2 linked regions of the Mus musculus genome follow. The protein of the gene in region 1 purifies or fractionates together with the protein of each later gene. This does not show direct contact. Links are inferred from orthologs where the notes say so. Each region holds a gene or a part of one and is shown in the gene's direction. Other genes may lie near its edges. The genes, in order: Usp15 and Glul.

Region 1 (15,803 bases):
AATGTGTTTTTATTTACTGATTTTACTGTATCTGTGTCTGCACCCGTTCACCAGAGCCCAGCTCCACACTTATGCAGAGAGTTGCATCAGAAGCCACCTGAGGCTTCTGACTCCTCGAGGAAGAGAACTATGGAAGACTCTCCCAGCTCCAGCCTCCAGGACTCCCCGGAAGCAGCAGGCAGGGGGACTCCTTCCCACTGCACTGCCAAGCCCCTCCAGGTACTCCAAAGCCTGCTCAGGGCTATAAAGCTCACAACTTCTCTTGGTTGGCGCTCTATTACCACAGAAGGGCTCCGAGTTTCTGTTTCCCCTTTTGAATTTGTACTCCCTTGAAGCAAAGTTCCCTCCTTTCGCTGTCTGCCCACTCTGTGTTTGAAAGGCGGGTGAGAAAAAAAAAAAACGCTGGGTGGGAACACTGATATTTTGAAACGGACTCTCACTACAGACCCTTGCAGGCCAGCCTGGAATTCCCTATGAAGACTTCTAAAGAGGGCCTCAACCTTGTGCTGCTCTGCCTCCCTGGAGCAGAGCTTACAAGCCACCAAGTCCAATTCTTGTTTCTTTTTCAGAACTTTTAACAACTGGAAATTAGTGTTTTCAAGCCGCGAACCATGTTAACAGTAGAAAATTTGTGAGGTGTCTATTTTTGATCTCTCTCTTTTTTTCTCTCTCTTATTGAATATTTTCTTTATTTACATTTCAAATGTTATTCCCTTTCCAGGTTCCCCCCTCCCTCCTGCATCTATAAGGGTGTTCCCCCAGCCACCCACCCACTCCTGCCTTCCTGCCCTGGCATTCCCATACACTGGAGCATCGAACCCCAACAGGACCAAGGGCAGCTCCTCCCGCTGATGTCCAACAAGGCCATCCTCTGCCACATGTGTGGCTGGCCGGAGCCAAGAGTCCCTCCATGTGTACTCTTTGGTTGGTGGCTTAGTCCCTGGGAGCTTGGGGGAGCGGGAGGGAGAGGAGGTCTGGCCGGTTGACACTTCTCTTAACTGTCTAAAGTTTGCACTTCGATTGTCTTCATGAAAAAAACTTAGCGGCTTTTTTTTTCTCGCCAAGGACTTAGGGAAGCTCATTGTACTGCGCCACTTAGAGGAGGCATTCAAAAGCAGGGAGAACGCTACATACAACACTACGCTCCAAACCAGAGTTTCTCAACCTATGGGTCGATCGACCCTTTCACGGAGATTGCATATCAAATAGTCTGCATATCGGGCATTTGCATTACAATTCATAACAGTAGCCAGCGCAGTTATGAAGTGGCGATGAAAATAATTTTATGGCTGGGGGTGAGCACAACATGAGGAACTGAATTAAAGGGTCGCAGCGTTAAGAAAGTTGAGAACCACTCATCTAAAGGGTGTTATTATTACCCCATCATTGCTTTGGTTAAAACACAGGGATTTGGGTGTTGCTCTTTTTTCTTCCGTTGTACAGCAATTTCCTCCGAACCAAAATCTTTCCTCCTGGAGGAAGCTCATTACAACTCAAGAAGTTGTACAAGATTCAGGAAGTAAACAACCTCAAAGTCTCAAGAGCTTGCTGAAACTTACCAAGATACCCAAGGTCTTTCCTCCGCCAAGGTTTTATGAACAGTGCGGACTCTTGAGGTGAGGGTGCGCCCCACCTTGTAGAGTTGCCTGCGTGCTGTGCAGAGAGCTCCAGGGTCTCAGCTTTCGCACACTGTCAGCCATGCCAGATTGCGCCTATGCTGGTGCAGCTGCCTCCGAGCCACCCATGTTCCTATGAGCAACCTCTCACCCCTGCTCCGTAAGTCCCGTTCAGTTATTTGTTCCCTGACCTGGTCTTTGGTGGTATTGTGACTTGGCTATGCTGTTAGCTCCCTATCTAGAGATGGTCTTTGTGTCAGACAACACTTTGGTCTGATTCTCCTTTCCAATCACCTCGTTAAGTAGTCAGTAGACCTAGAGTTAACTTCCCTGCCGAGTCACTCAATCAAGGGCTCACCAAGGAGCCATATACACTCACCACTGTCCTTATACAATTGTTATCAAACGCCTTTAGAGATAGAAAGGATTGAAGAGAGGAACAAAGGGGAGAGGAAGAGAGGACAAAATAATACTGTTGGTGGGGTGGGGGATGGGGGAGGAGGTAGGGGTGGGGAGCAGTCTGGGGGGTAGAGCGAGAAAGGGATGAAGACTGGACTGCAAAAACGGATTAAAGAATTTTTAAAAACTGAAAAAAAATGTACATCGATTTCTTGCCTCCTTTTTCTTTTTTTTTTTAATTGGGTATTTATTTCATTTACATTTCCAATGCTATCCCAAAAGTCTCCCACACGCTCCCCCACCCACTCCCCCACCCACCCATTCCCACTTCTTGGCCCTGTCGTTCCTCTGTACTGTTGCCTCCTTTTTCTACGTGGCGGTGATATCCTGGTCTATGCGTATTTATGGATTCTGCTCTCATAAGTCACCTGACTCGGTTTTCTCAGACTGTAATGCATGACTCTGATGGTCAACTCAAGGGCTAATTGACTGCACTGTAGATGGCAGGTGAGGTATGTCTTTGCAGATGCTCCGAGGATAGATTAGCATTTGAATCTATAGGCCAAGTAAAACAAAATTACACTCACTGATGAAGGCAGACACCACCCAAAACTCTAAGGGATGGACAAGAACAGAAAGGTGGAGGAGGTGCTAAGCCCCTCTGCTTGAATAGGCTGTCAGTCTTCTGTTGCCTTCCAGGATTAGTTCTTCAAGTACTTGAGCCTTCAGATTGAAACTGGGAGTTAACATTACTAGTTTCTACAGCTCTCGGGGCTGCGAACTTGAAAAGAACTTGCACTTTTCTCATTTCCAGTTTAGGGATGGTAGAATACAGACTTAATTTTTTGTTTGTTTGTTTGTTTGTTTCTCTGTGTAGCCTTGGCTGTCCTGGAACTCACTCTGTAGACCAGGCTGGCCTCAGACCCAGAGATCCACCTGCCTTTGCCTCCCGAGTGCTGGGATTAAAGGCGTGCGCCACCACGGAATACAGACTTAGTCACCAATCTTTCCTAATAAATGCTTTTCTCTACATCTCTATATTGTCCGTGCCTATGACCTGTTGACTCTTTTTGCCTGGAGAACCCTAATATGGTTCAGGAGGCAACTGTCCTAACTTCCTTGAACTGCTTCCGAGGGTCTACTGGAAGTCTTTGTAGAATTTCTTGTGCGTGGTGCATCACCGATTGTTCTGTGGAAGCTTGTCTAGAATCTCTTTGGTTATCAACCATTACTTATTCTTGGCTTCTGCAGACCAGCTGAAATGCAATCAGCATGATTTATAAGCTCTAGGTGTTCCTTGTTAAGTGTCACTTACTAATATTTGATGTTAGGAATTTGATGGTTTTGCTTCTGAAAGTTAAAATAATCCCATAATCACCAAAGTCTTGCCTGTGCCTGTAACTCTGCACATGGTCCTTTCAGAGCTCATTGCTCACCAGATATGCCTTCTACTTTTTTTTCCAACCTGTAACCCAGAGAATATCAATCCAATTTCTTCTTATTTTTAATCTATGATAAGTCACATTTCTTTTTAGTAAGTGGATACAATGACTAATTCCAGGCCTGACTAGTTTTTGCTTTGTTTTGGCTTTCTTAGAGGTACTCTGTTCTACAATTTGTCTATCAGTTTTCTACTGCTGTATAATGACCTACCAGCCACCTTGTGACTAGAGAGAGTGGCAGAGCATTGTCACATGGCTTAGGCTTCTGATGCAAATCTAATGAAGCGAAACTCACAGTGTTGGTGACACTATGCTCCTTGCTGCTGAATTTAGAAGGGAGCTCATATTTCCTGGCCTTGCCCAGCTTCCAAAAGGCATCCACGCCACTACTAGCTCGTGGCTCTTTATCCCGTCTTCTAAGCTCGGTCCCCGTAGTCTTCTCACCTTATAAACACAGGAAAAACATTTCTTTTACTTTTGTGGTTAGCTTGGACTCGCTTAAATAATTCCTCATTTCAAGGTCTGTAACCTTAACCTCATCTACGAAGTCCCTTTAAGCCATGACTATAACACATTCACTGATTCGGAGATTAGAACATGGCGATCACTATCCAGAGTCACTATTCTGCCTTCCCGGCTATCAATCCATAGGTAAAATCATGTCTTTTATCTGTAATGCTATGATGTAATTGGAGAATATTCATAAACATATAGTATATGCCTTATCATCTTTTCTACTATCTGCTTCTAAGTGCATTGTTTTATCCATAAGAATTCTTCATACAGATTTAACATTGTGGCTCAGGCTTTAATCCCAACACTCAATAAGTGGAAGGCAGATCAACAGGCCAGGTTAGACTAGGCTACATGGGTGCATTCCAGCCATGCTGGCCTGATACCAAGACCATGTCTCATAATCTCATAAAAGCAAAAACAAGGCAAAGCAAGAAAAATTCTTCACCAAAAAAAAAAAAAAAAAAATGAGTAAAGTTATACTTACTATTCATTTTAACACTTTCAGTATTTGGATGTCCTTTTTTTTTTTTTTTTTTTTTTTTTTTTTTTTGGTTTTACAAGACAGGATTTCTCTGTGTAGCCCTGGCTGTCCTGGAACTCTCTCTGTAGACCAGGCTGGCCTCGAACTCAGAAATCTGCCTGCCTCTGCTTCCCAAGTGCTGGGATTAAAGGCGTGCGCCACCACCGCCCGGCAGTTGGATGTCTTTGATATGATCCATTACTTTTCTCCTCGATTTTAACTAAACCGTTTGCTATGACATAACAATTTTGTGGTCTTAATGAATATAAATTTGTCTAAACATTCACATTAGTAACCGTCCAACCGCGTATTCTGAGGCCCTCAAGTAGCCTCATATTCAGGATTGAATTCAGTTTTTGAACAAGTATGAAGTTATCTTCACTTAAAAGAAATGAAGCCAAATCTTCCAGTATCAGAGAACTAGTACATAGAAGGGGGGATGTATATGATTAAGGAAGTTGGATTTTCTATGGAAGTATACAATTATTTCTTGCCCTTCTCATGAATCTCTCTGTAGTTCGGTCCAGTAGCAGACTGTGGCAGTCTTGGACCATCACAAGTTTATAAAAACATAATTAACATAATCCAAGAGTTCCTGTGCAGAAGCATACTGGCTAGCATAGGAAACAATGAGAAATGTTTTTATAACATCACCAAGCTTGCTTTTCTTCACCACTGGCGTCTTCTAACTTTACCCAAGCCTGCTGCATGTTCAGTAGTGTCTGTTACAGGATATGATATCATACTGTGACCCCCCAAGATTGTGTTGTTTACTGAGAAAACCTGTTTCCTGTTGTGGTGTGGCTTAGTCCTTAGAACACAACTTTATTCCCAAACAATGAAGATAAAGTTAACTTATAGAAGGAAGTGCCGATGTTTGACAGTGATGTCTGAGTGGCAGACAAAGTGGCAAATGAGAGAAAGATTTGACAGAATAGGATATGCCCAGCTCTCACAAGAAGAGAGGGGAAAGGGGAGCAACTTAAGGGTCTGGGCAGAGAGGGGGAAGGAGACGTTTTATTGCAACAGTTATAGAGACGGGTTGCAGAAAGAGCGAACAAGCTAGACACAGGTGAAGACAGAACAAGCCAGAGAATGAGAAGGAGTCAGATTAGGACAGATTGCCAGAGTTAGTCTGTGACCAAGCAGAGCAATTCTGAAGCTGAGAGAGAGAAGCCAGGTTGAATCACTCAGCTCAGAGAGGAGTTTGAGCCAGATCAGCTGGGTTGACCAGCCAGCTAGAGCTCAGAAAGAACTAGAAAGGGTGAGCTTATCCAGCAGTAAGCCTTAGAGGCTGAAAACATTCTAGGCCTAGGTAAGACTGTATGGAGGCCAGAAGCTTCCAGGACTAGACCTAGGTGAACTGACTGAGGCAGTGACCCTCAGAGACGACAGTTATACCAGCTGAATAAAGTCACTTTTACAAGTGCCCTGCTGCTGACAGATAACAGGAGGGCAGTATTGTGAAGAGTGCCTTCTCTATGTTCCATAGGTATTGGAGCACGTATATTCTTTAACGATTACGGCTATATTCGGTCTAAAGCCCTTTGTAAGCAGTTTACATCTCTTCGATCCTCCGGCCAAATGAAGAGAAGGACTGTCCAAACAGAAAAGCTGAATAATTCCGTCTCTTCTCGGGAGGAGACAATGCTGATCTCCCTGGAATCTGAACGTTTGGTGAATCAGTGCACCATGAGCGTCTCTACTTCGCTTTGGTAGTCTGGGTTTCACAGTCCCACCGGCACAGAGATGTTGCGAGACTCTTGGAGGAAGTGATAGAAGTACAGATGATGAAATGCATAGTGTAAAAGCATGTGAGAGCTCAAGGTGAGCATCCTCTAAATCACTCAGCTCTCTGTGTCCTGTCTGCTGCGAGTGAGTGAGGCTTGGGAGAGGACCCAGAGGCTGCTGCTTAAACTGTTTGTTAGTTTAGTATTTTGTTTGTTAGTATTCGTTCTTAAGTGATTCTTAACAACGTTAAAGTCTATCCATTAAGTTAAGCAGCAAATAAAATATATAAAATAGAGGTTGGAGAGGTGGTTCAGTACTTAAGAGCACCTGCTGCTCAGGTCCCAGCATCCACATGGTAACTCACATGGCCATTCATAACTTCGGTGCCAAAGGTTCTGACACCCACCCACTCTCTTCTGACCCTCGCAGGGACCAGGCATGTATATGGTGCACATACGTATACATACACAGAGACAGAACACTCACACATAAAATAAATACTTTTTTTTTAATTAAAAGGTTTCTTTTTGCCGGGCGTGGTGGTACACACCTTTAATCCCAGCACTTGGGAGGCAGAGGCAGAGGCAGGCAGATTTCTGAGTTCGAGGCCAGCCTGGTCTACGAAGTGAGTTCTAGGACAACCAGGGCTACACAGAGAAACCCTATCTCAAAAAACAAACAAACAAAAAACAAAAAAACAAACAAAAATTTTTCTTTTTCTAATACTAGCTTTAGTTTTGTTTACTTCACTCTTGGTTAGATAGTTTAAGTTATTTCTTTTTTTTTTTTTTGGAAAAGTTTCCCACCATATGCAAATATTTCACCTAAAATTTATAGAACCCAGAGGCGATAATCTCAATCAAAATTCTTTTGCTATTGATTTAAACCTGTTAGACTAGGTCTAATTTATTGATTGAAATCAGCCTGATTTTCTCATCATTTAGCAAGACGTATAGGACATCTGCTGCCTACCTTTAGGTAAAGTATAACCTTTCAAAGTGTGTTTTGGGAAAAGCAGATACAAGCAACAGCCAACACTAATCTGTAGGACTTACCCTCATGTCAAAATTAAACTTCTCAGATCTTATAGAGCAGGAGATATTTATTTGTTCTGGTTCTATTTAATACCTTTAGCTGGGGCGCATAGCTCAGTGGAGTCCCCACATTCCGTACTTCTTCAAAGTGAAGTTGTCTCACCCATTCACCCATTGACATTAGGAGTATCTGAACTCTGCAAGCACTTGTGTCTAAGCCGATGCTTTTAATCACCTTCTGGTATAACGAGAAAAATGAATGCTCACAGAGATTAAATAACTTGGCAAAAAAAATATTTGGTATGTTAGTGGCAGCAAGCCAGCGTCAAAAGCCAAGTAGCCTGGCGTGGGGTACTGTGTTCATGTCACTACCTTTTCATTCTTTTTATCAGAGCCTAACATTCGACGGAGGAGCAAGGATATTTCTTAAGCTTTAAAAGCTGCGTCGTGGTGCTTACAGTTTTTATTCACACTCCCAGTTTCAAAATATCATTAGCAGATTAAGCATCTTACTTACTACACGCTATTTCTGTGTTTGCGCTACTCCCCCGCCTTCTCGGCGTCTCCTGGCTGTTCGGGGAGCTGGTGAGAAGAGGGGAAGTTACAAGATTATATAACAGGGGATAGGGGTTTACAAGATGAATGAGAATGCGTGGGTGCCGGGGTTACAAGAGGGAACAGCTCATGGAAGAAGCGAGAAGAGAAACGCGTGACTTCAGGTAGATGTTCTCTTGGGTTCTTCGAGCCAGTGCTACAAAACTGTAAAACCGGCATAGCTAATCTTAGCATTTGTTCTTTTTTTCTTTATTATTATTATTATTATTATTATTAAATCAATCTTTTTTTACGTCTAGTCATTATCCCCCTCCCAGTCCGCCCTCAGTCTGTTCCGCATCCCGTTCATTCCTTCCCAAGTCTTCAAGAGGATGTCCTTACTCCCCCTACTCCCACCCCTGCTCCCCACTCCCTGGGTCTTAAGTTTCTCCAGGGTTAGGTGTGGTTTTTTTCTCACTGAGGCCAGAACAGGCTGTACGTGTGTCAGGGGCCTCATATCAGCTAGTGTATGCTGTCTGGTTGGTTAGCACTTGTTCTTACTTCCATTCAGTTTCATTAGTAAACACGACATTGATTTTACACTCTTTCTCCGTTCACAATTCCATAGGGATACGTGGATAACACTTTCTAAAAGGTTATGAAATGAAAATTCCAGGACTAGGTGTAGAACACCTCCCTATACAGTCTGGTCAGAGAGCCCCAGAAGTCACCACAACACTACAGGTTGATGCCAGGGCCCTTGGTTTGAATGACGCTATTGCTGAAGACCACACACTTGGGTTACTGGACACTGAGAAATCACACTGGACCGGTGCTGCAGTTTCTCACTGATGGGTAGCTATCATGGTGCTTGGGGATGGTAGTCAGTCACCAATGTTCCTACCCAGCTATGGACCCCAGGAACCACAATAATTACTTATCTGGCAAGACGCAGCTACTGCTGCAATAATAACATGATAACTGTAGGAGTGTTAGGGTTTTACTGCTGTGACCAGACACCGTGACCCTTACAAGGACAACGTTTAATTGGAGCTGGCCCACAAGCTGAGAGGTTCGGGCAAGCACTATCAAGGCAGGAGCATGGCAGCATCCAGGCTGGTATGGTGCTGGAGGAGCTGAGAGTTACACGACCCCATTTGAAGGCTGCTAGCAGAATACCTGCTTCCAGGCAGCTAGGATGAGGGTCTCAAAGCTTAGGCCCACAGTGGCACACCTACTCCAACAAGGCCACACCTACTCCAACAAGGCCACACCCACTCCAACAAGGCCACACCCACCCCAACAAGGCCACACCCACCCCAACAAGGCCACACCCACCCCAACAAGACCACCCCTTCAAATAGTGCCACTCCCTGGGCTAAGCTAAACCAGGGAGTAACTAAGCACTTTCTTATTAGATTTGACATCTGCTCCACAGCATTTAACTCATTCCTAGTACGATAAAATTGGCTAAGAACCTGTGGTAGAGAAGGTCATAGGTTCTGGAGAACCTGCCTCTCTTGTTTTGCTAAACCGACACCTTGTTTTAAGCCTTATTCTCTTCTGGAGCACTTATACATGAAGCTTTGTCTCTCAATTGTTCAGTACAGTAATCTGTCAAGGTTGAACAAGGGACTGTTCAAATCCGAGTGGAAGAAAGAGCGATTACAAGATAAGAAGAAAAAAAATCCTCCCTAGAAGAGCTCTAATTTCAAAACTGGCACATTTTCCATGTGGTCCGCTCTACTCACGGTAAATCCTTCTTCTTAAGCACCCGACTCTCTGTACTCCTCTCCCTGCCCATATCCCTAGGGTTCTTAATGAACAAGAACGGTACAGAAAGTCTAAGAGAGTACCAAGACGGGGTGCTTGCTGTGCGGACCTGAGGACCACAGTGCAGCCAGCACATGCCTGTTCCATCCCAGCATGCCTGCTCCAAGGGGTGCAGGGACAGGAGGGTGAGTGAGACTCGATGGCTTCCAGCGTACCCAAGAAAATGCACGTCTCAAGTTCAGGGAGAGATAAGTAAATGGGTGGAGAATGCTAGAAGATCCCGATACTCTCTGCTGGCTTCTGTGTGCACACACGCACTCACACAGACAGGCGCGCACACACTGAAATAAAAAGAGAAGATAGCGACAACTAACTGAAGATCCCAATGGAGAAGGTCGACTTGGGGAAGCAACGTGAAGACAGTGATTGTGAATAAGCAGTAGTAATCCCTCATTCACGGTCACATCTCTGTGGCTGGGTGTGATGCAGGTGCTGGCTGCTTAGTCTAGCTGAAACAAGGTACATTCTAGATTCAGAGAGACACCTTGTCTCGAAGGAATGGGGCAGAGAGCAGTAGGGAACACCTGGTATTTGAGTGCCTGGTAAATGAAACACTGTGTGTAACCACTTTATTGACTGTGATACAAACTAGCGAGGTCTCCCCGGGAGAGACGATCTCATCAGCCTGACGTATAACGTGAACTGACTCCTCTTGAACACAGTGTAGCTGAAGATGACTGTGGGTTTTTTGTTTGTTTGTTTGTTTTTCTGCGCGGACTTTGGCAGTTCTGTGTGGTGGGAAACTAGAAGAGAGGGCAGTGGCCTTATTACTTCATGGATCTGTTATGCTTATAAAATAACAAATGACACAGTTTTACCTTTAAAGTCCTGAATGCTTTGTTAAGAATAGCTTTATTGAGATATAACACACATACTATACAATTTATCCTGATATCAGTCCAATTCTTCCTACTAACATTTGTTGATTGGCTATTAAGTTCCAGGCAACAAACTCATATTGTTTCATTTAATCTTCATTTTTTTTTTTTTAGAAAAAAAAATCCTTAATGGGGTCTAGAGATAGGACTCAGGCAGAAGAGTGCTTACATAGCAAGCACGAAACCCTGGGCTTGATGCCCAGTGCTGCAGAAACATCCCAGAACTGGGGAGGCGGAAGCAGACAGATCAGATAAGTTCAAAGTCATCTTCTGTTGCACTGACAACCTGGGACGCATGGGATCCTTTCTGAAAAATAAGATAAAGTAAAGTTCAAAAACTGTTAAAAGGCTAGGTTGGCAATTTGGCTCAGCAGGCATAATTGTGACTTACCCAAGTCTGATCCCCTGAGACCCTCATAGTAGAGAGAGCTGACGCCTGCAACGTTGACTTGTGATCTCCACAGTAGGCTGTCACAGGCACACACTCAACTCATCTAGAAAATAAATGCACTGCATGCTTTTAAAATCCTTTAAGATAAATATTATACTATTTAAATTTGTAAATAGACTACAGATTAAGTGTTGGCAGCTAGAGATCCGAAGCCATGTATGTATGAGGATACAGCATATTCTTTGCATACCAAGTTGTCTCTCTTTGAAAACTTACTTTGCTTTCCTTCACAGAGTGGTAGAAGATGGGGATGGGGGGTGTGGATATATAACAACTGAGAATGTCCATAGTTAGGAAAACTCGGTTTTATAATCAGGAGTGGTCAAATAACATAAGAAATAGCCGTAAATGGAAATGACTTTTAGACTCATTGAGGCTGAAGTAATACAAAGAGAGTACTGCGCAGAAACAAGCAGTCACATACTGACTCACTCAAGTATGACGCCAATACACACCGGTTGTGCTAGTTGTTTTCTATTGCTGCAACAAAGCATTCTGACCAAAGGCAACTTAGGAAAGAAAGGGTCTGGGTGGCTTACGCTAGGGGAAGGTCACAGCCAGAGCTCAACAGGAACCCAGAGCAGAGTACGTGGACGGACACTGCTTTTTATGGCTTGCTCAGCTTGTTTTCTTACACAACTCAGGACCACCTGCCCACAGTGGGTTTACCACACCGATCGTTAAACAAGAAAATGCTCCACTGACTCATCACAGGCTACTCTAAGGGAGGCAATCCCATAATTAAGGTTCCCCTCTTTCCAAGTGACTTTAGTTTCTGTCAAGCTGACAAACCCTAACCAGGGAAACACTGCTTTCTCTTGGATGGGCCAGCAGTCCTCACTAATGCAGGCACCCCCTTCCTTACTGAGTTTCCCACCAAAACTAGGAGGCTTAAAAAATGGAGAGACCATTGCCCATCCTTTAACTTGTCACCTACTGTTCTACTGAGGTAGCCGTCTTCATTCTTAGAAACAGCAGTTTTGCCTTAGTTAATTTTGAAACGTTTGCCTCAAATGGTGTAGAATGGTACTAGACCATTAAACCGCAGTGCACACACACACACACACACACACACACACACACACACACGCACACACACGCACACACACGCACACTCACACGCCAAATTATAAAGAGAACTTAGTTGCAGCTTTTACGGAGTTTGTATCTTAATTCAGCCTTTCATGGAGGTACTGAGTACTGGGGATTTGAAATCTGTGCGATAACCTTGCACTTCCAGTTGCCGTGTGACCTTGGCATTTGATTTTTAAGAGGCTCAATTTCCCCGTTTGTAATTGTTGCCTTCAAATGCAGCTTGTATTATCGAGTCTAACTTTAGGCATATACAACCATGAAATTTAATCTAGGGGAATGCTAATTTGACGCCCATGAGGTTTCTCCCACGTTTCTAACCCCCTTCAGTACCTGGCCTTATTCAATACATCTTTAACTGCTTGTTCACCTAGAAACTGGGACATGTTTTGCACTGCAGCTAACGTGTGTGTGTGTGTGTGTGTGTGTGTGTGTGTGTGTGTGTGTGTCCACGCGCGCTAGGAGGCGTCACAAAGAGCTTATGAAAGGTAGAAGTCCCTACAGACAGCAAGCATGGGAGAGCTGGGAAGAACCTAGGAAGGGCACTGCGCCCAAACCTTTGGTTTCAGAGCCCTCTTTGTGCCAATATTCAGTGGGCTTGGGCTCTGCGGCTGGAAAGGAAAAGCCCCAAGTCACGGAACTGCGCGCTTTCTGCCATGTCCCAGCCGGCCCCGCCCTCCAGTAGGAGTGAACCCGCAAAAACATGGGTTTGGAGGCGGCTGCGGCAAGAAAAGGGCCAGCATGGCAAGGAGAGTCCGAGCAGGGCAGGGCAAAGGCAGGGAGAGAAAGCGCGGCACCCGGTGAGAACCGTGCAAACTCAGAGGTCTGGGGCGGCGGCGGCGACCACGCCGTGCTGCGGGGCGTGCGGGGACCCGAGGGGGCAGCAGGGCGCAGGCGCGCACCCGCCGCGCTCCCCGCCGAGCCACGCCCCCAGACCCCCGCCCTCGCGCCCCATTTGGTACAGACCTGCCGGCGGGGCGGGGCCGGGGACGCCATTCCCACAATGCTCCGGGGCGTGCCGCCGCCGTCGCCGCCGCCTCCGCTACGGCTAGTGGAAGAAGATGGCGGAAGGCGGAGCGGCGGACCTGGACACCCAGCGTTCTGACATCGCGACGCTGCTCAAAACCTCGCTCCGGAAAGGGGACACCTGGTAGGGAACGGGGTCGCGGGGCCCGCGGGGGCCCGAGGCTGGCGGAGAGCTGGGCGGGAGCGGTGGGCTGGTGTCGCCGGCTGGTGACAGGTGCGGACAGGTCCGGCGGCGGCCGCTCAGGCAGCAGATTTTGGGGGCAAAGGTTGGACCGGCGCAGAGGGCCGGGGCTCGCGGTGGGCGGTGCGCGCCCGGGGCTGCGCGGAAGCGGCGGCCGGGGCTCGCGGGGCTCCGGGTCCTCCTCCCTCCGGCAGTGCCGCTCCCACTTGGGGCCTTGGCGGAGCCCGGGTGCAGTGGCTCGGCGTGAGCCTGCCTGCCGCTGGTTTTTTTTTTTTTTTTTTTTTTTTTTTTTTTTTTTTTGACAGATCCCGGTCGCGCCGCTCCTCCTCGCTCGCCCGCCGCGCTTCTCTGGTCACTCCTTCCCCGGCGTCGTCCGCACCCAAGTTCCCCATTATTCCGATCCTTGTAGTCTTCCGGGAGCCGGGCTTCAGGATGTTTGCGGCGGGGACCACACAGGTGGTGTGTGTCAGGGCTCCGCTGAAAAGGAAACCCCTAATTTCCACTTCCTTGTCAAAAAGGAGGGAGCGGTGTAGGGACCTTGTTTTTTTAATTTTTTTTTCTTGAGAGAGAGAGAGAGAGAGAGAGAGAGAGAGAGAGAGAGAGAGAGAGAGAGAGAGGCACCACGTGGTCCTGTGCTTTGCTCCTGGCTCGATAGGAGCCGGCAGCGCTTCTGTTTGGAAGTGCAGCCCTTCCCTCCGGTTTGAAGGATAACGTAGGCCTGCAGAAAGTAGATAAGTCCACTTGAAGCTTAAAGGCTTGCTCATATTCAAACTTGTAAAATGCCAAAATAAGAGGGTACTGTACCTAAATAACTAGAGGAAGCATGTACAAAATTTAACACTCGTCAGCCAAAGCAGTTAACTTACAGAATTATTTAAATAAAGGGAAAGTTCTGTTTTAGGGGAAGGGCAGTGTGCCTGTGTGTTCTTTCGTTCTTTCTTTCTTTCTTTCTTTCTTCCTAAGTTACTTTTCCTTCCTTCTGTCTCCGTACTAGTGGTTTATAGCGTCTCAAGTGCCTGTTAGGTACTCCAGTGTGGCTAGTGGAAAGAGACTTAAGACCTGATTTATTCACAGTTCTCAAGTGCTTGTTAGGCACTCCAGTGTGGCGCGGTGGAAAGAGACTTAGACCTGATTTATTCACAGGTCCACCTCATACTTTGCAGTGTGACTTGGAAGCAAATTCATCCAAGCCATTGAGCCTCCGCATCTCCATCTGTTCAAAGAGCAATAACGATGTTATTGTGTTTGCTCTATATTAATTCAGCTAAATATTCTGAACTATCTGGTATTCATGAAATACTAAGTTTTAGTGATCTTTTTTATTTCTGCCATTAATTCCAGACAAGTGCTGTGGGGTTGGAATCATTTTCGAGTTAGCTAATAGGCGACAGCTGGGGGACCTGAATTGAAGTTCTTGGATCCTTAGTTTGTAAGACGGCAAACACTTTGTGTAATTAAGAACCTTGATGATGGAAAACACACTTGTTGCATTACAGCCTTGCAGAGGCTTAAGTCATTATTGCTTATAGTCTGCTTTTGTTTTTCTTACGGAGTTTATTGCTGAGAAGAAATCGGGCATTCCCTAGAACACCTATGCTCCCCTTGGCCTGTGCGATCTTAACAGATAAATTCAAGCTTCTTCTCTCTGGTATATTGAAGAACATTTTTTAAAAACCAATTCACTCATTTATTGTATCATACAAATATAAATATGACTACCGATAAAATAGAAATATTTTTTAGAATGTGGATAGTTTTCTCACTAATGTTTTTCTGTTGAGTAATATCACGTATAATTGGTGTTCATGGTAATATATGATTTAAGAAATACCTGTATTGTGGATATTAAACTACTTTTAAAGTTGGTTATTTTTAAGCGAGTATATTTTTCTTGACAGTTACCGTAAACCACGTCAAAATGTACAAGTTAAGTCTATACTTGGGTTGTTACAATGCCTTAATTTCAAGAAAGAACTTAAGTCCAGTTTTTAGGCAGCAGCTAAATATGCAAGTTTTACCTCCTTGTTAATTTTCTATTTTGTGTAAATCAGTGGTTCTCAACATTCCTAATGATGCTGCCTTTTAATACAGTTCTTCATGCTGATTCTGCTACTAAGAAAAAAAGAGATAGGCTTACCATAATCTGGAAATCTTCGTACAGAGTTTTGAAATTATAGTGAGGTGCGTTAAATTTCACCACATTAGCTCCTGAGCACTTTGCAAACTAACTCAACTACCTAGGCAGATATTTGTATTTGATTTGGGTCTTCATGAATACCCATCTCTGTTTATTTGTTTATGGGTGGTGATTTGAGTACACAAGTTGTGCTGAGATAAAGAGAGCATTCTGTACGACTGGCACTGGACGTGCAGTAAGAAGTAGGTAAACAGTGGTACAAGAGTTCTCCCTATGACAGGTGAGCTAGCAAGGTGACACTCATTGACAAGGAATAAATCGGTAGTCTCACAATGCTAGTTGTTTGTCTGTTTCCGTTCTGACAAGACAGTGAGGAAACCATAAGCAAAGTTAAATTAGAATTTAGAAAATTT
Region 2 (15,788 bases), on another chromosome or scaffold:
TGGCTGATTCAGGCAGCCTTCATTCTCTTTAGACCAGTCTCTGGCTTCCCATGGGAGGATGATGACATCAGTGACATCATGTTTGTCACCACCTTCTTCTGCTGGCATGTGATGATCAATGCCTTATGCATGTTGGGAATCTATGGTGTCTCTTCCTTTTGGCACCGTTGTTACAGTCCCAGCTTGAGGCTGATGGGGTCCAAGGAAGCGCTGTATCAGGAGAGCTCTTCAGGAACCTTCTACAAGCTGCTGCAGGAGGCAGAGCAGCAGGACAAAGATGACCAGGCTCCTCTCCTTTCAAAGATCTCTCCCTGTGACCGGGCCTAGAATACCTGGGCATATACACCGCCCCATCTTCCTCCTGTGGGCTCTCCTGGGCACTTGCAGTGCAACCTTTGCTCCTTGGTGAAGGCAATGGCCCTGGAGGATGGCAGTTTGTGCTCCTTGTCTCTGAGCCTGCAGTTAATGCTGAGGAGAAGAGACCCAAGCGTGATGGGACTTGAGAAGAGGGAGGGAAGAAGAGTGGGGGACAGTTCTACATGCAGGCAAAGAGAGAGAGTGAAACAATGGCGTTAAAGAGAGGAATCTCTGCTCAAGCCCAGAATTCTGCACTCAGCGCTGTTTCTCTGAGGCACCACCGAATGCTTCACCTGAGGGAATAAAGATTCCTCACAGCTCAAACCTGGCATCAGTTGTCTTATTCTGATGAAGTAGATTGATTCTTTTTTATTGTTTTGTTTTTGAGACAGGATCTCATGACATTGTCCTGGCTGTCCTGGAACTCAATATATATGTAGACCAGGCTGGCCTCAAACTCGGAGATCTGCCTTCCTCCACTTCCTGGGTTCTGGGATTAAAGGTGGATATGATGCAGGTTGAACTTATATTCTTTGGGGCTGGTGTTAGAGCTCTGCTGACAGAATGCTTGCCTAGCATGTTCATATCCCTGGGGGATTCAATTCCCAGCACCACAAAAAGCATATGTACAACCCCAGCCTCTAGACAGAGCCAGGAGAATCAAAAGGTCAAGATCATACTTGGTTGCCTATTGAATCTGAGACCAGCTGGGGTAAATCCTATTTCAGAAATAATAAGTAAAGTTTACCTTTCCTCTTTTTTTTTTTTTTTACCGTCCCCTCCCTGATCTTTAATGACAGGCTTCATTTCAAATTATACATAGTCATTTAAAAGGTAATTTAATAATCACATAAATTTACATTATCCAGGATTTTTAGAATGTCCATGCTTGGTATGTCTACCCTAGCAAAAGCTTTCTTCACCCCCTTACATGTGGAACTTATTACACACTACCCTTGGGTTTTGCAACTTTTCCTCTTTGAATCTCAAGCCATTCTATAATCTCTATTTTGTCTTTCAGCTGACACACAGACTGCAACCTTCTGCTACCGAGGCAGTGAGCACTCACAAGGCAGAGAGAGCTCACATGGATCTTCTTGTTCTGTTGTCACTGGGCCACTTGCAGGAACACTGCTTTCTTTTTCCCTAACCATCTGACACATCTGACTTTGTCCTGGTTTTGAAATAATTTTCCTTGGGGAGTTCTCTCTCACCAACATGTAGGTTTCAGAAGAAGAAGGGCTTTGCTGTATCTAAGTTACACAACTCCTTGTGTGTGTTCCAACTGTGTGGCAGCTCCTGATTCCACTCATCTGGTTCCACTGCCCACCCCACCCATCCTTCCTTCTCGTTGTGTTACACAACAGGTAAGATGCTCTGCCAACCTCTGGGTGACCATCCTAAAGCCTGAGGTCACCTTCTCTCTCGTTTTTCCTTGTCCTTGGGGAGAGTAAAGGCACAAAATCTGTTCCTACGTTGTTTAGTCTTTTGATATTAGTGGTGGTGCTTTGGTTGTGTTGCTTAGTACTGAGGGTGAGACCCAAGCCCGCCAGCAATTGCCCACAGAACCACATCCCGCCCCAGCTAGTATCACTGCTGTGATATGTACTTCTCTAAGGAAACTGCTGTTATGGGTCCACTTGCTGGAGAAAAGAGATAGGTCAGCTATTTAAGCCTCATGTCAGCCTCAAGTCTGACAGTGTCACCCAGGCTACCGAGTGAGTAATGTAACATAACATAACAATAGGAGTATCAGTCCCTCCCTAACTGCGATGGAGAAGGAAGTTATCCCCAAGATTAAACAAGGACTCAGGGGAAGAAGAGCAGAGGGAGAACGGGTGAGGCCAGCCAGAAATCCTGGTAGAGGAAGTGGCACAGTGTAAATACCCTAGACTCCCCTAAAGGACAAGCTTATGTGAGACTTTCTGCCCAACTCCCCTTCTCCTAAGAATAAAGTCTGGCGTACTCTCAACTCTTGGCTTGCCTTACGTTTCTGGGCTCAGACCCAAGTGAGGGCTGAGGATAAGGCTTGTTTATGATCAAACCTTTGAATCCATTTCCCCTTTATTCTTTGTCCCTAGACTTGTCTCAGTTGATTTTGCAGAGTCCTTTTTTTGTCCACCTTCCTTGCACACTGATGTGGGGTGAGAAGCAAGCAGAGTAGGCTGCCCATTTCTGGGCTTCTGAAGACTAATTTTATGACAAACTTCCAGTAATCAGGCAGTGATATGAATATAATATCTCTCAAACAGCCAGTGTAGGCGAAACACTTGGGTGCTATCAAATTATCATATGTAATATGTAACAGAGGCAAGAAAATCTTCAGACTCAAGCCTTCTGGGGCGATGTTTGAAATTCTCACAAGCCACCACTAGAGGGCACAATAGCACCATCAGTCAGTCCAAGCACCTCGGTCCCCAACCCCAGCATATATTAGTCTTTCAAAAACCAGTTTAAAAGAAGAAATGGGGGAGGAGAGAGAAAGCCCAGAAGCAGGCTAAATGTTGCCCAAGAATCCAAAATACATACCATAGGGCTGTGTGCTTCCAGTTAAAAATTGACAAATATGAGATAAACAGGGATCCAAACCAGCTAACGGGGTCAGGGGTGAGGGATAAAAGGCTCTGCGCAGGCCCAGCTGTGGACTCCTTTGAGAAAAGTAACCAACTGAAGAACTGTTTCAATTCAGTTTTTACACCACAGGCCAACTTTCCTAAACTTTCAAGTGGGCTTCAGTAAAGTTTAAACCATCTAGCAGCTATATAATGAACAAAAACAGAGCTGTATGTACTCTGGGAAATAAAGCAAAGTGTCTGGACCAGAAAGATGGTTCCGTGGGTTAAGGCATCAGCCACTGTGCAAACCTGACAGGTCTAGTCCTGGAATTCATGGTGGGAGGAGAGAACTGACTCCTGAAAGTTGTCCCCCGACTTCCACACAGGTGGTGTGGTGGTGGTGGTGGTGGCGGCACACGCCTTTAATCCCAGCACTCAGGAGGCAGAGGCAGGCAAAGGTCTGAGTTTGAGACCAGCCTGGTCTACAGAGCAAGTTCTAGGTCAGCCAGGGCTACATGGAGAAATCCCATTTCTGGAAATAAAAAAATAAAAAATAAATAAAACACAATAAAGGGTGGGCTGGGGATATAGCTCAGCAATAGATTGCTTGTCTAGCCTGTCCCAGAAACAAGTAGGAAAGACAGACATGGGGGTTGAACTCTAGAATTGTGATTGTGGCTTCCATAGTCTCAGTAGGACCCCTGCTTTCCCACGCTGTGACAGATGAACTTGGTTCTTCCCAAACCCTTCATGTGACTTCCTAGCAGAGGCAAGCTTTGAGATAGAGTCCAAACAGACCCAAACCTTCCACTAATATGCAGGTTGAGAAATGGGGTGCTCTCTCTCTCTGTGTCTTCACTGAACATTGGTCAAACTCAAATGAGGTGAAAGACAGTTGACATCCCAACTTTGAATTTCTTCTCTTAAACTGAAGAGTATCAAGTGATTAAGCTATGTAAAGAAAACTCCCTCTCGTGACCAGTCTTAGGTTATCGAATTCAAGGACAAGCTGGTCTTGCCTTCTTTCATTGTGCGGAGTGAAGTTTGAGAGGCGGACTTAATACAACTTTGCCCTGTAAATACACTTTACAGGGTCCAGGAATGCTACCGACTTCCAGTGATCTTTCTCCTTTTTGGGGGGTGGGTGGGTGCTTGTTTTAACATTTGTTATGCTCCATTCTTTTGGTCAGATCTAATTTGGGTTTATAAAGAACCAAACAAGTTACCTTCTGGGTTGGGTTTTTGGGTGACTGCAACTTGAGTCCACACTGTGTCTCTTCAGCTTAAAGTTTTCACAGACTGCCTGCTGACATCAGCCACACAGGCAGCCAACTCCACTCCCAGCAGCTACAGTCTACGATTTGGGTTCAGTGGAACCATATCCTAAACTTTGCATCACGGGTACAAGGTAATCACACAGCTGTCCTCTTATGACACTAGGTTAGGAGCTTTAGAGCTTCAGAGAAAGAATGTATAAGAACACAGGAAAGCCTACTCGAGCCATCAGTTTAGCCAGCCGAGCACCACTGATGGAACGTGCTTCGTTCTGGGCTATCTCTGCAAGTTTAGTCCAAGCTCTTTCCTGGCAATATTGCTCTCCCAATCCACCCACCCTGGGGACAGAGGAACTCAATTCAGTGAGAAACTCAACTTCAAAGCACTTGCCATCAGACCCCCATTAGCCTTGGTACTGTGTGGGCCTGGACTGAAAGTTCATGGGTTCAATCGCTTGCCGCCTTTACGGGGGGTGGGGGGGGGCAGAAAATGGAGGCGGTGGCAATTTAGGGGAGAATAAAGGACAGACATAGCAAAGTCAAAGTGGAGGAACAGGCTGTTCTTTTAATTTCTCTAAGAGTACAGGTGGCTTTTCAGAGGGCAAGCCAGTTAAGGAGGGACTCTTCTTCCATGGTACACTCAAAGCTCCCTAGTCCAGTCCTTGAACTTGTCTGGGTCCTACTTCGGCTGGTTTAAACACATGTGGGGCCGACCAAGGGGGCAAAGCTGCCTGTTTACCCCTGAAAGTCAGTGGTCACATGAGATGTTCCTGGTCACATGAAAGGATCAAAGCAAATCCGCTTCTATTCTTGGAAACAGAGCAAATGTTCTCTTGATGCTGCCGCTGATGGTACTGTGGGGTCAATACGTGTTTATTGAACAGTCTGGACACTATTCGAGGGCTACGGGAGAATAAGCAGCCAAGGAGGTTAACATGTCTAGGAAGGGAAGCGGGCACTCACATGGCAGAAACACAAGAAACCCATGGAAAACAGCACATGTGCTCTGGAATATTGCCCTTTCTATCGTGTTCACTGCTCCCATTGTGGAGCCTGGTGAGGAGTGCTGAAGGCTGCCCTGGCTGATGACCGGCAGCTGCCATCTGGAATTCACTATCTCCTAACATAAGAACAACATCTCTCCCTTCTGACAACCCCTTTTCTAACCACCTAAGCTGAAGAGTTAAAAGAAGAAATGGGAAGACAGCCGAGCCCATTGTTGCTGAGTCTACACCTTACTTCCTTAAGTAATGGCGCAGCTCACTACGGAGGCAGAAAGCTGCATCACCCGAGTGGGCAGGGGGTGGGGGGTGGGGGGGGGTGCAGTGCCAGTGCCACAGTGCCGTTGGTGGGTCCTCTCTTCAAAAGAATGAGGGTCCCGGAGTTCATCTCCAGCAACCATGTAAGAAGTCATCTGCAATGCAGGTAACTTCTTCAAGCTGTGCAGAGGCAGATCCAGAAAGATCCCTGGGAGTCACCGGGCAACCAAGTTAGTTAAGTTGCAGTTACAAGTTCAATGTCAGACCCTGTCTCAAAAAAAAAAAAAAAAAGTAGAGGGTGATAGAAGACACCTAAAGTCATCCTCTGACCTCTACACATATGGATGCAGTGTATAACACACACGTGCATGTGTGCATACATGCATGCACACACAGAGTAATCATGGAAAGAAACGACTCAGTCTCTTCAGATTATATTGACCTATGAGATGACATCGTCTTCCTAACACTCCTCATGTTCCAGGTCCCACTGTCATCCCCGCTACAAATGCTAAGACAGAGCTTGTGTGGCTACTAATTTGGCTACTACTCAGAATGAACTTGGGTTTGCCCGACGTGAAGCCCCGCTGTTGAACAACCTCATGGTAAAACGCTTCACACAGTACTGACTAGGACACAGAATTTGCAAGGTGCCTTTCTGGTCCAAAGCCTATTCAAATCCCCACCTGTGGGGCATGCTGCTTCTGTGAGCCACTGTGTCAGACACACTCAGGGGAAATTGACAGAGGTTGACCTAACAGGCCGAGCTATGTGTGTGGGGTCACAGGCAACCTTTCTTTTTCATATTTGTGGTGCATACACAGAAGCAGAAGCACAAACTTCATCCCTTCCTCTTCCAAAGGCACTGAGAGCGTGGGTTTCTGGCATCTAGAGAGAAAACTTCATCTCGAATGCCAGAAGTCCTGAAAGATAAAGCCCAGCCATGAGGTGGATTTCATGTACTAGAAAGAGACTGCTCAGAGCATAGCATTAATAACAATATATGGGCCACGTCTATTTTTTTACAGGTAAATTCTGTGCACATTTTCAGCTTGTCTCACTACAGTATTCACACACTATCTCAGCCATCACTGCAGGGTTAAGAAAGGAAAGAGAAAACTCTCATTCCCTCTCCCCCAACACACACACACAGTTAAAAACAACTTGGGAAGCAAAGCCAGGGGTTCCCCCCACCCCTCTTGCTTTTTTGTTTGTTTTCTCTGTGAAACCCTGGTTGTCCTGGAATTCCCTCTGTAGAGAAGACTGGCCTCGAACTCAGGAGACCCACCCGCCTCTGCCTCCTGAGTGCTAGGATTAAAGGCGTGTGCCACCCCCGCTTTCCCTCCTGAGTGCTAGGATTAAAGGCATGTTGCCACCCTGCTTTCCCGGTCAACTGCTCTGAAAGTCCTTCCATCTGCTTTATTTTGCAGATCCAAGGAAAGGCTGAGAGACGGGAACACACACACACAAGGCAACATCAAATAGACTATGGACGTCCAGAATCCTCTTTATAGAAACATCACACTTGTGTTTAAACCGTGAAATCACAGTCTGACCACTTCCCCCAAATCCACTCAGGAAACCAGGAAGATAGGGTCCTCCAGGTTCTGGGAATCGTGTTTCTCTCTCTCTCTCCCCGCGCCTGATCAGGGCTCCCTGCCTCTCCCCAGCCCAACCCGTCCCCAGGCTCGCTCAACAAACAAAGGGTAAAATTCTCTTCTGGGGTTCTGGATTTTCAGTGACAGATCTCCTCGAAAACCTCTGTACCGTTAAGGAAGCAAAGAGCCGAGGCCAAATGACTCTGAGGAAGCCTCAGCCTGGGTCCGAGGGTCCAGAGGTCGCTTAAGAACGCAAGCTGCAAATGCATCCTGCACCTTCGGCCCTGGCCCTCCTCCAGCCGCCGCTGCCTCCCCTCCCCCACTCCCCTTTCTCTTTCTTTCTTCTGGGTCTCGCTCGCCCCACCCTGAGGCTCCCGCACAGTTCCTCGGCCAATGGCCTCAGGGCCCCGGCGCGCAGCAGCTGATGGGCGCGGGTTTCCTGGCCTAGGTCAGCCAATCAAGGCGACTGGGGGCGGGCACAAGCTGTCAATAAAAAGTACCGAGCAGCCAGCGACCCTGCAGAGCGGAGAATGGGAGTAGAGCAGAGTGTCTGAACAGCACGCTCACCCATCTCCTCTCCGCCTCGCTCTCCTGACCTGTTCACCCATCCATCATCCGGCCGGCCACCGCTCTGGTAAGCGCACGGAGGGTCCAGGAATGTACGGCCGCCCGGGCTGTGGGGTCGCACTCTACTTCCCAGCTCCAGTCAGCTGCTGTACGGAGCGGGATGCAGCGCTCGTGCCTCCCGCGTGTTTGCAGCGTGCGGCCCGGGCCGGCTCTGCTTGGTGTTCCTAGGACGCGCTGTGAGCCAAGCTCCGGGAAGGGCGGGGTTGCGGGTTGTTTTGATCTGTTCTATACTTGCGGCCGGAGGCGCCGCCCCGGGAGGCAGGCGCCGTTGGCTGGGGTTCACGCTGAGATGGGGGCTTTCCGGTGGTCCCAGCGGGAGAGGGTTCTTGCCTTAGGTGGGCGCAGGCGCCTTGATCCTCTCTTCCTGGCGGCGCATTTGGGGGGCGTCGTCACGCTGTGGGTGGTCTGGTTGAGGATGGTGGTCCTAAGCGTTGATGGCACCACTCCCCAGCTCCCAACGCCGTGTCCTAGGCCTTTACCATATGACCGAACAATGGAGAGCCGGAGCCCCGGAGTGGCCGGCGGGCTCCGCAGTGGAGAGGCCGCGCCAAGCGGAGGCAGCAGCGGCGCGCTGTGCCTCCCGCGGTCGCCCCACTCTCGCCACCCGGCCTCTACCCTCGCCGGGGTATGGCCCCCTGGGAGAGGCCTTGAGATCTACGCGGGCCCGAGGGTCGCGGCACCGACTTTCCGGACATTTTAGTGGGAAGGCTGCTTTCAAAGTGGATTGCCCCAACTCCTCCGGGGGCGGGAAGCGGGGATCCTCCCCCAGCCGCAAATACTCAAAGAAACCAACCATTGAAGACGTAGAAGATGGAGATTCTCGGTCCTCAGAGTCCCCTTCTAATACTTTAGGCTTCGTTGCCTACTCTGTGAACTCCGGGGAGAAGTCGAGGGTTAAGATTAAATCGCACCCGTCTTATTCCAGCACCTCCCCCTCCGAACGGTCTGGGTCCCCCACTCCATCGCCCTCGCCCAAAAAGCTCCGTTGCTTAGACCAGCGAGAAATCGAGAACGAGGAGAGGCATGAACACTGCTCTAAAAAGAGGAGGTCTAGAGAGTACAACCCCAGTGCATTTGATTCTCATTGGCTGGGGTGAGTAAAAGTCAGGGCGAAGGACCCCGGGTGCATCTGGCAACCCGCAGAAACTACTCAGAATTTTAAGAACCCATTCCACTTTGCACTACAGGGACACCAGTTGGTGCTATCTATGTACACTAGGCTGCTGGCACCCAGCTGGTCTCAGGGAACCAGGGCCAGAGGAGGAACTCAGGTTCCCCTAACAGTTCATTAATGCTGGATGTGTGTGTGTGGGGGGCGGGGGGCACGGCAGAGGAGGAAAGCTGATGAGTGGTGTAAATTGAAGCCATCTAGAATTACAATCCGGGCCTCTAAGTGGTGTAGGCAGAGGCTTTGGTTCTGCATCGGACTTGACAGCAGAGGCTCATCTGTTCCCCGGGGGAAGGGTGAGGCTTTTGGAGGGAGAGGCAGTTGTTTTCACTTGGGCAAACATGGACGGTTGCCCATAGAAACTTTGCCACTGTACTTCAGAAAGTTGCCCAAGTCATTGGAGGAGAACAATATGTTCCCTCTCCAGCTATCCGGGGAGATTAGGGAGGGAGGGGGGCATTTCCTCTTGTGTTTTGAGGCTGGTTTTTTGTAGCCTCACATTCATCGAAGATCTTGCCCCGACTCCTGTGGCTTGTAAACTTAGAAGTGGGATTTTTCTACGTACCAGAAAATATTATCCGGTGGGATCGTCAAATACTGTTAATTTTCACATTGAAATCTGTCTCTGGAGTAAGGCTTTTCACCACAGTAATGAAGTCAGCAGTTGAGGCCTGGTGTGGAGGGGGCATACCTTTAATCCCAGCTCTCAGGAGGCAGAGACTGGTAGATCCTCTGATTTTGAGGAAAGCTTGGTGTAAATAATGAGTAAGTAATTACTAGGACAGAGAGAGGGCTTGTTGAGATTTCTCTGTCTCAAAAAAAAAAAAAAAAAACCAAAAAACCAGTCAGCAGTGTGCTCCTTGGAGTATGGCTTTACTTTTTACCACCTTAGTGGTGGCAGATAATACAGGTCCTTTCTTTCTCCCAGGAATATGTTAGCCTTTAAAGTCTTACAGCTAGCCCTAGTATTTCATTGTGTAATCTAAAGATGGTGGTGGCATACACCTTTAATTCTAGCGTTCAGGATGCTGAGAGGGGCAGATCTAATTTGATTCTGAGGCTAGCCTGGTCGGCATAAGTTCCAGGGCTCCACAATGAGACTTTGTCTCAAATAAGTAGATAGTCTAAATGTAGGTATGTAGGGATTACAATGGGTTGTGTGTCCCTTAAGGTTGTTCCAAGAGCTGAGCGGTGGTGGCACATGCCTTTATTTAATCCCAGCACTTGGGAGGCAGAGGCAGGTGGATTTCTGAGTTCAAGGCCAGCCTGGTCTACAAAGTGAGCTCCAGGACAACCAGGGCCATTCAGAGAAACCCTGTCTCCAAAAAAAAAAAAAAAGGCTGTTCCAAAGAGTGGAAGACAAAGCAAGACTCAACAGTCAATTAGTCAAGTCTTTCTGTGGCAATAAGGTAGTTCTGTTGGTAGAATAAGATATTCTGTTAATGAACGTCTTGATATTTGTTCTCTCCTGCTAACATTTCTCAAGTTTAACGGTTATTAAAATCCCTTAACTAGTCCCCCTGAGGGGGCATGGTCCTTGTCTAATATAAAACTTTAAACCCCTTGAAAGCAGAGTGAATAATGCACCTTTGTGTGTGTCCAGTCCCAGAGGAGCGAGATCACCACGCACGCCAGCCTGATTCCCTTGCCGTCCCCTACAGTGGATCCCTTTGAATTCGATATTAATAAAATGCGATTTCTGTCTCTCTCCAGAACACCTTCCACCATGGCCACCTCAGCAAGTTCCCACTTGAACAAAGGCATCAAGCAAATGTACATGTCCCTGCCCCAGGGTGAGAAAGTCCAAGCCATGTATATCTGGGTTGATGGTACCGGAGAAGGACTGCGCTGCAAGACCCGTACCCTGGACTGTGAGCCCAAGTGTGTGGAAGGTGAGTGCCGGGGCGGAGTGTGCGCACGCCTGGGAGTGTACGCACAGCCTCGGATCCACCTTCCTTCTGTTTGGTTTGCAAGGCTTTTCAGACCTTAGTCAGTCACCCGTAAGTAAGCTGCTGCATAGTCTGGAGGCGCAGCAACAATGGAAGCCTTTCTTTAGATGGACTCTGGCGTGTGCTGGTACATTGAAGAAAAATACTGGGTCACGTTTGTGGGGGATGGGAGGCTGCTGTGTGCTAACCTGGCCAACCCCAGGAACCTAGTTTGAGAGGACTGGTGTAACTGGAATATGCTATCTAGTTTATAGAACAGTCGGTCTCAACCCTTCCTAATGCTTCCACCATTTAATAAGGCTAGTGTTGTGGCAACCACCAACCATAAAATGGTTTTTGCCGCTACTTTATAATTGTATATACTTCTAAGTTTATTTTAGTTGTAGCCTGTGTTTCTCAGCATAGACCAAGTAAGCCATAGCTGCTCAGGAGAGGGGTGGCCCCCTCACCATCTACCTGGCTTAGGATGGGTTACTCTTCCAAGGATGTTTCTGTTTGAGTGAACGAGTGACCAGATAACAGAGCATGGATTGTATACTTGGTACTTGGCAGAGTGTGGGTAGGTTCTTCAGTCTCTGCTTTCTGAGAACTCAGAGGTAACTGGAGAGTCAAACCCGACCACTAAGACAGTAGGGAAAAGACCAAGCAAGCGGTGGGGAAGCAACTGTTTATATACAAGCATAACTTGAAGTACAACAGTTGGACCTGTGGGGAATGGGAGAAGGGAGATGATGATGGCCTAGAGGAGGAGGTGGGGTTTTTTTGTTTGTTTTGGGTTTTGTCCTGTGTGTGTCTGACACACTGGAAGTGATACCAGAGTACACAGGAGACTTGCACAGAGAGGACTGGTTTTCTGCTCAGGTGGCTCTTGGGATGCAGTGCTCTGGGGACTCTCAGGTCAGGAGAAACTGGGATAGGTGACAGCGATAGGTGACGTCAGGTTATCCCTGATGTAGATGCAGTCACATGCACCTCACTCCTCATAAAGACAAAGTGGTGGTGAGCAACGAAAGGATGAGTAAGAGGCTGACCGTCTTCTTAGCGTGTGCACTAAAAACTTTTAAAACTGTATGTATATGGGTGTGTATGTGCGCGCGCGCACGCGCGCTCCATGTGCTCAGTGCCAGCAGAAATCAAAGAGTGAGGACCGCAGGAACTGAAGTTACAGACAGTTGTGGGCTTTCATGTGATTGAGAGCTCTTGTTGCTCTCACCGATCTGGGTTCAGTTAACAACACCCACATAGTGGCTCACAACCATCTGTAACTCTCAATTCCGGGAGATCCAACCCTCCTCGTCTGGCTTCTTCCTGCAGGCTCAAATAACACGTTTAAAGTTAATTTAATTTTCTATCTTTGTCTTGCCCAGAGTTACCTGAGTGGAACTTTGATGGCTCTAGTACCTTTCAGTCTGAAGGCTCCAACAGCGACATGTACCTCCATCCTGTTGCCATGTTTCGAGACCCCTTCCGCAAAGACCCCAACAAGCTGGTGCTATGTGAAGTTTTCAAGTATAACCGGAAACCTGCAGGCAAGTATGGGATGGGTGTGGCTGGCTGTAAATCCTGAAACTCTAGGGAGGTGACATTCTCAATGAATTGAGAAGCCGCTCTCTAAGAACGTAGGGATGGCAGGGTGGCTATTCTACCCTGAACTTTCCTGTTGGGAACAGTGTGCTCAATCCTTTCTTCCATGGTTCCTTTTATTGTTTGTATAGTGTTGGCTCTTCTGTCTGTTTGCTGACGGGCAACCTCTACCTGCTGATCTAAAAGCCTGTGTTTAAAAGTTCTGTAGTTTTTGAATTTAAATACTAGATCTACCACTGTTCTACCTGCTTTTTTTTCTTCTGAATTGTGTGTGCTGTATGTGGAGAGCATGCGTCGGAGAGCATGCCTTGCTGGGTGCGTGGACGTCAACGGGCAGCGTTGGAGTTGGTTGTCTCCTGCCTGTTTATGTGAGCTCTGGAGGTGGAACTCAGGTTGCCAGGCTCGAGTGGCAACACCTTTACCCACTGAGCCGTCTCAGTAGTCTTCTCTGATAAGAGCCCATCCCGAAGTCATTGGAAGATCACATGAATGACCGTGTGCCACAATCACTTGGGAGTACTGCACGTTAACTATCGGTTACTATTTTATGCCAGACAGCTTGTTGAGTCTGAATACTCACAAGTATGAGCATCGAGACTTCGGGATGTGCATTTACCCTGCCTGCACATGCGTGGAGTTTAGTTTGCACTGTGCTATCCATCTCCGTTTTCAGATAGCTTTGAACCTGGGGAAGTCTCACTTCTGTGAAATATCTTCTAGCAATGCCAGTAAGGCTTGGTGGCCCTGGGCCTTCAGTGCTTCTGTTTCAAAAGGCAGTAGCATTATTGGTAAAAGGTGTGCTCTGTGCCTGTCCTGTCACCTGGGTGTGCCACCTAACACCCTCTCTTGGGGTTTCATTTTCTTATTTGTGAAAATGAAGGTTTTTTTGGTTTGTTTTTTTTTGTTTTTTTTTTTCCAAGACAGAGTTTCTCTGTGTAGCCCTGGCTGTCCTGGAACTCACTCTGTAGACCAGGCTGGCCTTGAACTCAGAAATCTGCCTGCCTCTGCCTCCCAAGTGCTGGGATCAAAGGTGTGCGCCACCATGCCCTGCCAAAATGAAGGTTGTTAATACCTTAGACTCAGATGGTTATTTTTTTTCTAGCTTGGGAATTGTTTTCAGCTATACTCATATATAATTATATGTCTGTATGTCTGTCTACCTATCTACTTTTGTACCAGTCATAACTGTAAAACTTAGCACTTAAACTCACCTGGCATGTGAACCTAATGGACAAATTATTCTCAATAACAGATCTGGCCTTCAGTGTCTGAGACACTAGGGAATACATCTGACAACTAGAAGCAGTTGTCCTGTGAATCTGAGAATGAGTGCCTGGCGTGTGGTGTTGGGATGGTGGCCAGCATGCAGATAGGGTGACCACTTGCTCGGATTCCATTCCCATGATGCTGCGTGGCTGACTTTAATTATAAAAAAGTCTATTAGCCATTTCCTGCAAATGGACAATTATCACTTCTTCCATTTTCCTTGGTGATAAAACATGGTGGTTAGGCCTGGGTCAGTCTCTCCTGTGACCAGCACTGGAGCTGTGTGAGAGGGCTCTAGTCCTGATGGCATGTTGATTCTTTATTTCTAGAGACCAACTTGAGGCACATCTGTAAACGGATAATGGACATGGTGAGCAACCAGCACCCCTGGTTTGGAATGGAGCAGGAATATACTCTTATGGGAACAGACGGCCACCCATTTGGTTGGCCTTCCAATGGCTTCCCTGGACCCCAAGGTACGTCCCACTGGGTAAAGGGTGAAACTTCCTCCCCTAAGTTGTTACTGTCCAGGAAATCCCCTTCCCCAGAGATAGGTGCAATCCTGAAATGAGAAAATGGAGACCAGCAGCAGAATCTTAACAGTAGACCGACCTTGCATCCCTCACATCCAGAGGTGGTTAGAATTTAAAGTGACAGAGAGTGGTGAGATGGCTCAGTGGTTACCCACCAGGCCTGACAACCTGAATCTCCTCCTGGGACCCATTTGGTAGAAGGCAAGAAATGACTCCCTCAAGTTAGCCTCTGACCATACTGTAAATATGCAAGTACACACAAAACTAATGAAAAGCCACTCAAAAAAAGCAAGCAGGGCCTCTACCGAGGCCGAGGCAAAGAAGGAATGACCTAAATTCTCCCGCCTGCAGCTGAAGGCAGGACTAGTGACTCAGGAAAGCAGGTTTAGGCCCTCCTAGTTTTGGGCTTTGGGGTTTCCTGGATTCCCTGACTGACTCTTCCCTGCTGTGTCTTGAACCTCCTTCAGGCCCGTATTACTGCGGTGTGGGAGCAGACAAGGCCTACGGCAGGGACATCGTGGAGGCTCACTACCGGGCCTGCTTGTATGCTGGAGTCAAGATTACGGGGACAAATGCGGAGGTTATGCCTGCCCAGGTAAATGGTGCCCATCTTTTTCCTCCTCTCTGAAGACCTGGGTAGGTAGGCACATGGGGACTTCGGGCTAGCAGGGGTGGATCACAAAGTGGGGCAATCACAGAGGGTGGATCTTAAAGGTCAACTTTTTCTCTCTAGTGGGAATTCCAGATAGGACCCTGTGAGGGGATCCGAATGGGAGATCATCTTTGGATAGCCCGTTTTATCTTGCATCGGGTGTGCGAAGACTTTGGGGTGATAGCAACCTTTGACCCCAAGCCCATTCCAGGGAACTGGAATGGTGCAGGCTGCCATACCAACTTCAGCACCAAGGCCATGCGGGAGGAGAATGGTCTGAAGTAAGTACCTTCCTTTGGAGCCGTCTGTATTCTCATGGGGTAGAAGGGCTTTGGGTACTCACAAGGCTGTACGTACATGCCTAGCTCTGCATATTTGTTCTAAGCCTGTCAGTTTGTGCCTGTTGGAGAGGCGATAGGGTAAATACTTTAGGAATAGAATTGACAGAAAAGCATTCGAACTAAGTAAAAATACAAGCAAATGGGAAACTTAATTCTTACTGGTGGGAAGAGGCGAGTGATTGGGGGTCTTTCCATCCAGTGGATAATTTGCACTGCATGTTAAAGACTGGCCTGAGGGAGACAGTGCCTTCTTTCTTCTGGGATTCATGCCCGCTCCCATCCTTGTCGATGGACCCTCATCTTCACTGTTTCCACTAGGTGCATTGAGGAGGCCATTGACAAACTGAGCAAGAGGCACCAGTACCACATTCGCGCCTACGATCCCAAGGGGGGCCTGGACAACGCCCGGCGTCTGACTGGATTCCACGAAACCTCCAACATCAACGACTTTTCTGCCGGTGTTGCCAACCGCGGTGCCAGTATCCGCATTCCCCGGACTGTCGGCCAGGAGAAGAAGGGCTACTTTGAAGACCGTCGGCCTTCTGCCAATTGTGACCCCTATGCGGTGACAGAAGCCATCGTCCGCACGTGTCTCCTCAACGAAACAGGCGACGAACCCTTCCAA

Evidence for each region.
Region 2: the proteins of Usp15 (region 1) and Glul purify together in Homo sapiens (affinity purification with mass spectrometry; 3 studies listed by BioGRID, with this or other methods). This does not show direct contact. The link is inferred for Mus musculus from reciprocal best matches to the Homo sapiens genes USP15 and GLUL.

The regions. Positions count from the first base shown.
Region 1 is NC_000076.6:123,194,220-123,210,022, reverse strand, and holds the start of Usp15 (ubiquitin carboxyl-terminal hydrolase 15), read left to right. Parts: upstream 1-13,003; 5' UTR 13,004-13,107; coding exon 13,108-13,196; exon of another isoform or gene 13,197-15,803. UniProt on the Homo sapiens protein: Hydrolase that removes conjugated ubiquitin from target proteins and regulates various pathways such as the TGF-beta receptor signaling, NF-kappa-B and RNF41/NRDP1-PRKN pathways.
Region 2 is NC_000067.6:153,892,383-153,908,170, forward strand, and holds the start of Glul (glutamine synthetase), read left to right. Parts: upstream 1-7,546; 5' UTR 7,547-7,677; intron 7,678-10,551; 5' UTR 10,552-10,564; coding exon 10,565-10,730; intron 10,731-12,154; coding exon 12,155-12,316; intron 12,317-13,966; coding exon 13,967-14,113; intron 14,114-14,637; coding exon 14,638-14,765; intron 14,766-14,903; coding exon 14,904-15,103; intron 15,104-15,481; coding exon 15,482-15,788. Other genes in the region: Teddm1a (transmembrane epididymal protein 1A), read left to right, coding at 1-327. UniProt on the Homo sapiens protein: Glutamine synthetase that catalyzes the ATP-dependent conversion of glutamate and ammonia to glutamine.